3 linked regions of the Arabidopsis thaliana genome follow. The protein of the gene in region 1 interacts with the protein of each later gene in a pairwise test. Each region holds a gene or a part of one and is shown on either strand. Other genes may lie near its edges. The genes, in order: AT4G03600, AT1G16170 and AT1G34640.

Region 1 (3,217 bases):
CATAACATAATGAGCTCTTACCATACTCGGTACTCGGTGGAATCCGTGATACGTCTGATATATAAGCCACTTTACTTTTATCGCCGAAGAGGAAACCTAAAGCAATGTAGTCCTCTCCATGCATCACCTAAAGCATAACTAACATTGTTGAGTCTATAAGGTCTCATGGAAGAATTAGACTGTTTTGATTTCTCAAAAGTGAAAAGAAATTTAACCGGAAGAGGCGTGAAAGATAAGCCCGAGGCAGCGAATGGTTCGTCACAATTCTCTTCGATGTTTTTCCAGTCAAGAAGTGAAACTCGTCTAGGTACTTCTTTTACCTTCTTTTCAACCAAATAAGGAAACCTTGTAGCAATACTGCACAATTTTTTGTTGCCTTAAAAGTCTCATCAAATGCTAATTTGAAAAGCTTTAAGCCAGAGTTGAGATAGAGAACACTAATCGAAGATGGTACCTCTCCATTGTAAATTGAGATAGAAAGACGGGAAGTGGATCGGTATCAACAATAGTTGCACCACGAGGTTGAAGAGATCGAATTTCATCTAAGCCATGAACCGCATCTGCGTGCTCATGAGTTAGAATGATCTACACAAAATCATACAAGCATTAGTCAGTAAAAGTTAGATTTCATTTCAGAGAAAAAAATAGATGCAAGAGATCAAGAAGATAAGTATATAAAGGGCTTAACGGAATCGACTCGAGGAATCTTATAAAAGGTAAACCAACGAAGGACTTGCTCTCTAAAACTCTTGCCAACATCAATAAGTATGTACTTATGTCTACCATCTTCTTCCTTGCTGCAATAATCAATCAAGAGCGATGTATTGCATCTGCCAAAAAACAGAGAATCAAGATTCAAGAATGTTCACCAAACCCTAATATATCTGAAATAATTTCCCAAGAACACTAGAAATCGGATGGTTCATTTTTACCTAAAATGGATTAAAACCTAAACTCCAACACGAATATAGACAACAGTAGATGTCTCTTTTTTCAATCAAAACTCCCAACTTCAAAAGGGTCTTTACGGAAAGCAACAAGATTTGACATTTCACAAATCTCCACAGCTTCAAAGACCAAAACCCAAAGAGAAGAAACTGATGACAAGATTTACCTGTAGTTAGGGTTAAGGTGAGGAAGTAAAGAGAGGGACTGAGAACAGACATGGCAAGGAGGATCTGACGGCTGGAGTAAGCATCTGAAATCGGGAACTGCACCGGAGCAGCCTGTTCCAAGAAAGATCAGAGCCGTTCCATCATCATCAGATTGATTCTTCTCCATCTTCTCAAGATTCTGATCTTCTGGTTGGTCTAGCCAAAGCTGATTAATGCCAACGGCTATATCTTTGTTTATTGTATTAGTTGAGATTATATGCGATCCCTTACACAAACTTGTCTTTTTCACAGTATATATATTCCTTTTATTAACATAAAATATCTAAGCCATTACTTTGAGTCTTTGACACTGATATATGTAGTCATAATGATATTGACTACTAATTTTTCCAAACAAAATAGTAAAAGATTAATGACTTACCCCACAAATCCACCGGATTGTGATTTTTTTTGTTATATATCATTGTTTGACTCCTCTAAATTAGAAAAAAATCTTCTACATTTCTTTTTCTGTATAACAAAATCTTAAATTTAAATCGTTATGGTAACGAAATCTTTTCTTTTGTTTTTCCAGTTTATTGATTAAATATACTTCCACAGAATTTAAATTTACTTAATTATTAAAAACAATGCAGTCACAATCTTTCCAATTACCATTTCATTATCTCACAAATTCGACCAAATGTTTTTCATATTTCACAAAAAAAAATATATTAAAGCGCGTGTGAACCATAACCACGCGATTGCCAGCTCAAAAACAAATTCACAAAGAAGCGTACACGACACGCGCTACGACTGAGTGTAAGGATTCTCATAAACTGCTCTATTTTATTTTGCTCAGTCGCAGACAAATCTCAAAACAGATTCGATCGATAAGCAAGAACTTCCAATCTCTAATGGCAGATCAAACAGAATCTCCAAGATCGTATCATATCTTCATCACAATCATGAGTAAAAGACGGACATGGGTTTGTCTCTTCATCGCTGTCTACGCAATTCTCGTATCTTCTTCATGGAACCTCCTGAGATCAGTTCTTAACTGGTACAAGCTTCAATACACGTCATCAAATTCAGATTATTCTCCTTCAAGATTACCGGCGGTATACGCGTCGGTGGTGCTCGGTGCGATGTTTGGAGCTATGTCGATGGTGGCTGCTATGACGGTGGCGGTTCCGGCGGTGATGGTGATTTGGATATCGGTGGTGGTGTTGCTTGCCTTCTTTGGGAAATCAAGAAGAGTTTTAGTGGTTGAAGGAAGGAAGATTACGAGAGAAGTTGTCGGATTTGTGTTTAAGGTTCTTTTGAAAGAAGGCAATGTTGTTGCTGCTTTTTGTGCTGTTTTAGCTTATTTTCTGCTTATTAGAAGAGATTTTGACTCATATTAAGGTTCTTGATTTTTAGATTATTTAGGGAATTTTGATCTAGATTATCTTGAGTCACTCCCGAATGTAAATGTAAAGTTAATTTAGAAAATCAATTGTTAGTAGTAGAATGAAGAAGTTCATGATGCATTGGCTCAATTTTTTTTGTTTGTGGTTAGATAATTTTTCTTGATGACAGCATTTAGTATCTAGAATGGATCGTCCCACAACTTCTCATTTGAGATATTGAAAATCATGATTTGTTATCCGTTTGTGGGTTCATTGCCACACAATTTCAACACATGGACCAATAACCAAGTGATTTACATATCCTATTAAGTTTGTTATCAGTTTTCACTATTTAAGTTACCCGGTTATTATTTTAGTAGCTTAAAACTACATCAACTAGTTGAAGAGGCATGTTTTGCGAAGATAAGATCATATAATAATGGGTTACACAACTTCTTTCTTACTCAAATTCCTTCTTGAGGAAGGTGTAACATTCCAACATTGAAGTAGTGGATTTCACACACTGATACTTATTTTTATAAGTACCTTTCTTGATAAAAAGAATTCTAATACCTCAACTAAAAACTCTAATTTGGGGAAAAAAATTAATGTCTGCAAACCTTTTATAACAAAAAATTCTAAGAACTCTAAAATCATGAAAATGCGTGAATCTTTTTGTCTTTGGAACATATATTGTTGAACTTTTTTTTTTAACTGAGCAAAAAAAAGAAT
Region 2 (3,764 bases), on another chromosome or scaffold:
ACGAACAGCAGAATAAACAACCGAGAGAACAGTTGTGAGTAAGCCAATGGTCATTGTGCCTGTTGAAACAGCTTTAGAGTGATTGTGGAGACCATTGCACTCGTAATCCCGGGGTTCACTTGCAAGTCCACTGTAACAGAGGTACATGCAGTACAGAGATATAACCGATGCTGGTAAAATGCTTCCACCGACCTGCAAAAGAATAGGTTAATTTGACTTCAGTGAGCCTGAAATTGGGAATCAAATAAGATCTCAGATAAGAGAAATATAAGGTTTCAGTCAAAACTTACAGTAGGATGCAAAACTACAATGGCAAAGACGAATACAAATATCAAAGTCATGATAATGAAGAAGGTGTTGAGTCCACAATCATGTCCAGATGGAGTAAACCAGTGGAAGAGAAACCCAGAGAAGACGAATGTTGCCAAGTAACATACAAGAGAAACAACGAGCAAAGCAGCATACCTATATATAAAAGTCAAGTACTTAGATTAGTAGTGGGATAATGAAGTCACATGATTTAATTGCAAATATATTTACTAACCAGAACTGCTCGTCGTAGCCAACCCATGTGTCATTCCATCCATGAACAAAATCCAAAAGAAGTACAACTTGAACAAGCAGGAAAAATCCAGCACCAAACTTTGACATCGACTCTGCAAGATGTAAAATTGATTCCCATTAGTTCCAAGTTAATCGATTCACTAATCACTTTGCAATGATAAACAGAAACTTACCATAGAAACTGATGATTTCATTTGGAAGGAAGAACATAAAGATGACTAAAATGCACCAACAGATTATTTTCATCATCCAACCACCATGGTGTATACCATCACGAGGGTCTTTCTGATTTTTCACACCGATCATCATAACCGATAGAATAGAGAAAAACAAGAAATTCCCTAAGCTGACACGCAACACAGCATCAGTCTCAAACCATTCACGATCAGGTGTCTTGTGAAAATGGTTAATCCCTGCACACAATGTCAATGATTAGTTGCATACACCAAAATAATCTCACGAGAAGTATAATAACAAAAAAACTTACAAGGGAGCTTCTCCATGAGAGGAGCAGCAACTTCACGGAGAATCCATGAAACGATTAAGGAAAGTGCAAAGAGACCACAGTAAGCAATTCTAGCAGAACGTCTGCTGATCCCAGAAACCACAGTACGGCAAGCATCGCAGGCACAAGCAGCACAACACGATGCGAGACAAGAAGCTGCAAACATCTTCTTTCTCCTCTCAGATTAAAGGTTGGATTCAATATTCAGCTGCTAGTATCAACCAAAACGCAAACACAAATCATCAAAACACAAATCATCAAACAAACAAAAAAAACTAATTTCGGATGGAGACGGTAAGAAAAGCAGCTTTTTAAAGACCGAATCGAAAATTAATCAATTTTGCTCAGAGATAAACAGAATTATTTGGAATCAATTGAAATTGGTTAAAATAAGCTGAAATTTATCCCCAAATTCGAGATGAAATCATAGCTCCCGATCTAAAGCTTCACCCGAGAAACCTAGCTTTAGGGATTGAATTTGACCTCTGGAACAAAAGAAGGAAAACGAAAATCGCTTGAGAAAGAGAGAATCAAAATACCTTGCGATCGATCAAAAACCTTGAGCTATCCTCTCCTTGAAAAGTAAAACAACTCGTTGTTTCTTTATTATCTCGCTCCTGATTTCGGACTTTTGACCAACTTACAAAGGAACTAGTAAACCATCAATACCAAGTTTTCATGTTTGGCCCACTAATGGCCCAAATTATTTTAATTTCTCCTTCTGTTTATCATGCATGGGCTTTTGATTAAGATAGACCTCTACTAAAACCTTGCAAGTCTCCTTACAAAGAAAAAGAAAAAAGTTATAAAAAAAAAACTCTAGGCTATTGGGGGTAAATAGTTTTGGTTTGGATGCTAAATGCTAACCGGCTAAAGTGATTCACGGCAACGGCAACTCAGTCTATTAGGATTTCAGTGCAACTAAAACAATGTATTTTAGACTTTTAGTTTAGTTGGAAGCAAACCAAAATATTGAACACCTCATACTGTCATACAAATACAATATACAAAAGTACTAAACATTATCGTGATTACTAGAACATGAGTTGTCTTCTCGTTAATGATTAAAAAAGTTTATCTTAATACGTATTCGTAAATGCCCTCTGGAAGCTGCAAGAGTCAGATCATAGTCCTAGGTAAATGTCATCACTCATCATCGGATTCTAACAACATGCCCATCATCTTCAAAACACAAAGGAGTGGAAGCTAACAAACAACGCATCATCATTTTTTTGTCCTCTTTATATATCTTCTTTCCTATTTTTTATCTTTTTATTGTTTTGTATATAAAATCCCTAAATTCCCGTTTTATGTAACGGACATAATAAGCCGCGTACGGCGTATCCGGCAAATCGGCCCAGCTCGAGCCATCATCAATCTACGGAGGAGATCCATCTCTCTCTCTCTCTCCATATCGCAACAACACTGCTGAAGATTTCGGGGGTTGTCGACGGAGCTGGAATCTAGCTTTTTCTTCTCCAGATCTCTAAACCGATTCTCACCGGTTCGTTTTCTAATAATCTTTCACCTACTTCGGATCTGTTTCCCTCGATTATCCAATGTGCATCGATCGCGAGTTGTTGTTGTTGTGTATTGTGATTGATGATTGATTGAGAATGACGTTATTGTTGGCAATTTGTTGCTTTCATTTTCATCTTTCGTATACGATCCAAGCTCTTTTGTAATTATAATTATGACTAATGTCGTTTCCACAACCAATCAAAACAGCGATATGTGTCTCGAATTCTTGTTTCTCATTGACATTTATGATGGTTTATGATGGAAAAGTGATCTCCCAAATGTTACATTCAATCTGATTGTGATGATCTCCTTTTCATAGCATGTTTATGTTTCTTGTAAAATTGTGTTAAAACGACTTGTGTGTCAATTTTTGCAGGTTAATTGGTATTATAAAGCCATGGTTCTTGATGGGCTTGTATCTTCACCGTCAAGGAGACAACAATGTCTAAAGAAGCAGTGGGACGAGTTGGGTAGCTGGTCGACTCTTATTCAGAGGCATCAATATCTCTTAACAGCTTTGGCTCTTTTGGCTTTCCTCTGTACTGTTTATCTTTACTTTGCAGTCACTTTAGGCGCTAGGCACTCGTCCTGCTATGGCTTGACCGGGAAAGACAAGGCAATGTGTCAATTACAACTTGTTCAAGCTCTCTCCAAAGGGAAACTTAAATTCTTCTAGACTGTTTATCTATCGGTGAAAGTTTGAAACCCCCACATTTATTGTTCTTGTACTAAAACATTCTTTTTCTTCTTTATTCTATAATGCAATTTGTGTGTATTATTACATGGTGAAATAAAACCAGAGATTCATAATTGAAAGATAACTTTATTTCATCAGATGAGATGAGAGTATACATGTGCACTGTTTTGAGTCGGATCGTCACCTCCGGTTGTATGTCAAGCCTCTATTAGGCGCTCTTATTAGAGCTCATGCGTTTCTGTATATTTGGGAATTCTTACCAGCGGAATGATGATAGCAGCGGGATATAACTTCTACTACCTACACAGGTCGAGACTCTGAAACTGAAACCATAATGCTTGAAGTCAAACATTTTCTGACACATCGTTGACTCCTAGACAAGTAAGTTTTTCCAGTCATCAAATAATACATTCAAGTCACACCAAAAGTCCACACTTCATTTTCAAAAGTACATGTTAACTTCGAATTTCAAATACA
Region 3 (3,163 bases), on another chromosome or scaffold:
AAAATATCTTGTGATGATCAACAAGACTAGTAAACAAGTCTATCAACCTTACATGTAGAAGTGCACTGGTCGAATAACGAGGATGAGATTTGTAGGTCAAAACTGTAATTGATGGTAAATAAACATTGGCGATCATGATGTTATAAGGGGTATCAAAACCAAACTTAATTGAGTGTTTAGCAATGTGGCATCACAGTACCATTGGGGGAATCAGTATTATATTTTACTTTGTTACTGAGAAAATATTCAAATATTGGTTAGTAGATATAGACTAAAATAGTTACCGAGGAATAGATATTATTAAGATGTGACCACACTTTCTCATGAACTTTTGTAGCAAGTTCATAGAAAAACATGTGTAAAAGAAACATGGTGTTGCTATTTAGCCGCATATATATGAGGGCTTAATCTCGTCGCTATTTAACAATAGAAATAGTCGACGTCATTTGTTTCTACCAAGGGACTTAAACTTGTCCTTTGTCAATGCGTAGTTTTGTGGCTTCGGATTTTAAAAAATTGTTTCTGAATTTATATAGATCTAACAACCTTTGTAAGATTAATGCTTTAGATACTAATATACTATCAATGAAAAAGAGTATTTACTTTGTTTTCACATTTATAGGAAAAAATTAGAAATCTTCATTTACAAAACGACATTCGTAGTTTGAGGTTATTACTTTTTGGCGAAAAGAAAAGAAAAGTTTGAGGTTATTACTAACGATGCCAACTATCAAAACAAAATTTATGTTAGTAACCAATTATGTGGGTGTTTGGTTGAGTAGTAACTTTCCTTTTTACTGTTGTTCGGCAGTAGCTATAAACTTTTTGTTGTATGATTACATGTGTTGGTTGTAGATGTAGAGTTTGATTGGTAAAGTTAATTAAATATTGAGGATTCAAAATTTAAGTTTATCAATTTAAAATTATAACATAATATTAAATGAGATAACAAATAAATAATAAATAGTAAATTTCATATGTATAACACATTGTTTGGTCAATTTTATAATTTTTTTTACCTCAAAAATATGATAAGATTTTTTTGTTGTCTTATGTTTAAAGTACAACGTACTCATATAATCTTATGCTTGTGAAAGTTAAAAATAATTTCTGTCCCGCTTGATGATTATGTCATTTTATTCTACAAATTTTTTTTGGCAACCGATATTAATTAGAATTCAAAGAGTTAATCCGAGAGATATTGTTTATATATATGGTATGATGCAATTCGGTATAATTCTTTCATACCAAATTATCCGTTTTTACATTTACACTACAAAAAATTAAAAATAAAGAAAAGTTTGTGAATTCCTTCTTGTCATTCCAAAATTTATCTTTTTTTTCCTAATTTTTCGGTATAATTCTAATTACTCTATGATCAAAACCATAAATAAAGATAAAACTGAACAAACACAAAAACTTGGATCCAAAAATACGGTTGGGACATTACCACATTTATGGCGGCATTCAATTCAATTGATTGCCACGCATTTTTCCAAAAGAATATACCCTATATAAAAAAATCCATTAAATATTATCTTTAACACATAAATGAAATCTTTCTCCTACATCCTACATAATCTGTGAATCTTCTTTCCATGTTTACACTGTTATAAAGCAACTTCAACTAATCCCGTTTTAAATATAAGCTATCTACTCTCTCTTAGCCATAATGGGAAACGAAGCAGCACTAAGATCATCAATGGTAGGTCTTGCAGTGGTGATGGTAGTTGTATGGTTATGGACACAGTCTTTAAAGAAGACGGTTGTTACTTACGCCGTCGGTATTTCTCTTATTGGCGGCATACTTTTGCCGGATTGGGACTTCTTTGATCGGAGTTTCTCTCGGTGGGGCTATCCTGTCACCGCCGAGGAAAGATCAGCCGCTCTCGCCCGCAAATCTCATCCTTCAAGGTTACTTGTTTATCTTATCTCAATATCAAACTAGTTGTTTTATCATATCATTATATATTAATCTTTGAATTATTAGATCTAAATTTTGGTTTAGCTTTATTGCCTTAAAACCTATTGGATAAACATAAATCATACATACAATTTTTTTTTTGTCAACCGATATTAATTTGGATTCAAAAGAGCGAATCTCAAACCATACATACAATGTTAGGTTCCATTTGCAATGTATGTATTATTGTATATCTACGAATTAGGTGTACAAGTTATGATTGAATTTGTTTATTTTCGTGAATATTTTCTATTGATTTTAATTGTTAGATCCAAATTTTGGTTTGGTTTACTGGCCTAATTAATGGATAATGGATACATCTTTGGACCAAGTAATGCAGGTTTAGAGTGTACCCTATGAGGATGGTTTTATACGGCACGGTCTATGGATATGCAGTGTATAGGTGGTGGATGTTCGTATCAAATTATTGAAGCCATATTGTATTTACTTGGTCCATCTTTTTTATGGTTTAGTGTTGTTGATTAACAAAATATTTAGCTTCGTTTTATTTTAACTTTGTAGAACATGTAAGACTACCAGATTACATATTGGTGTGTCCACATAAGATGGACAAAAATTGTCAAATGGATTGTGGTATACAAAATTGACCCAAAACAAAACTCCTAGAGACTCTAAATGAGCATTCTACCACCAAATTCTGTCCCACATCAGAAAGATCTTTAGGTTAAAAGTGAATGTCTCTAGGTTGTTTCGCAAGAAGGAGCAGGAGGGGGAGGAGGAACACCGAAGACCCAATCTAGTACGTTCAAGTATTTTGATCGAAATACGTCTCTTTCTTGTGCGTAACAATGCATTATAATGGCTGTCGAAACGCTGAACACAACCACATCCGCTCTTCTTAAACTCTTGGGCGGTCGAATGTATCCTGCCTCTGTCATGCAAGTAAAGAAGCTCTCTATCGCCCTCGCTAAGCAGTATAGTGATATCTCTATCCTTCTGCTTTTCTTCTCAATAGCTAAAGCCAGACCTGTTGGGAACTGCAGGAGAAGCCTAACGTTAGGTATTATATTAACAATGATATGTGATGAGAATGGCTTTCGTTTGTACTGTTGCTATGGCCACAAGCGGTATGTTGCATGTCTCAAAAGTGCGGAATAGTAGACAAGTCCAAGCCCTATTTTACATCATTATAGAGATGGTCTAAGTTCCAACTTCAAGTGAGAACAAAACAAAAATCGA

Evidence for each region.
Region 2: the proteins of AT4G03600 (region 1) and AT1G16170 interact in a protein complementation assay, tested with the Arabidopsis thaliana proteins (one large-scale study listed by BioGRID).
Region 3: the proteins of AT4G03600 (region 1) and AT1G34640 interact in a protein complementation assay, tested with the Arabidopsis thaliana proteins (one large-scale study listed by BioGRID).

What each region holds. Positions count from the first base shown.
Region 1 is NC_003075.7:1,603,103-1,606,319, reverse strand, and holds AT4G03600 (pyrroline-5-carboxylate reductase), read left to right. Parts: upstream 1-1,691; 5' UTR 1,692-2,011; coding exon 2,012-2,500; 3' UTR 2,501-2,682; downstream 2,683-3,217. Other genes in the region: AT4G03610 (Metallo-hydrolase/oxidoreductase superfamily protein), read right to left, coding at 22-127, 216-357, 455-585, 689-830, 1,115-1,281.
Region 2 is NC_003070.9:5,538,376-5,542,139, reverse strand, and holds AT1G16170 (ephrin-A3 protein), read left to right. Parts: upstream 1-2,137; 5' UTR 2,138-2,573; intron 2,574-2,966; 5' UTR 2,967-2,987; coding exon 2,988-3,266; 3' UTR 3,267-3,474; downstream 3,475-3,764. Other genes in the region: AT1G16180 (Serinc-domain containing serine and sphingolipid biosynthesis protein), read right to left, coding at 1-192, 291-465, 545-656, 738-977, 1,052-1,235.
Region 3 is NC_003070.9:12,686,937-12,690,099, reverse strand, and holds AT1G34640 (peptidase), read left to right. Parts: upstream 1-1,556; 5' UTR 1,557-1,672; coding exon 1,673-1,914; intron 1,915-2,303; coding exon 2,304-2,394; 3' UTR 2,395-2,548; downstream 2,549-3,163. Other genes in the region: AT1G34630 (uncharacterized protein), read right to left, coding at 2,665-2,961, 3,032-3,098.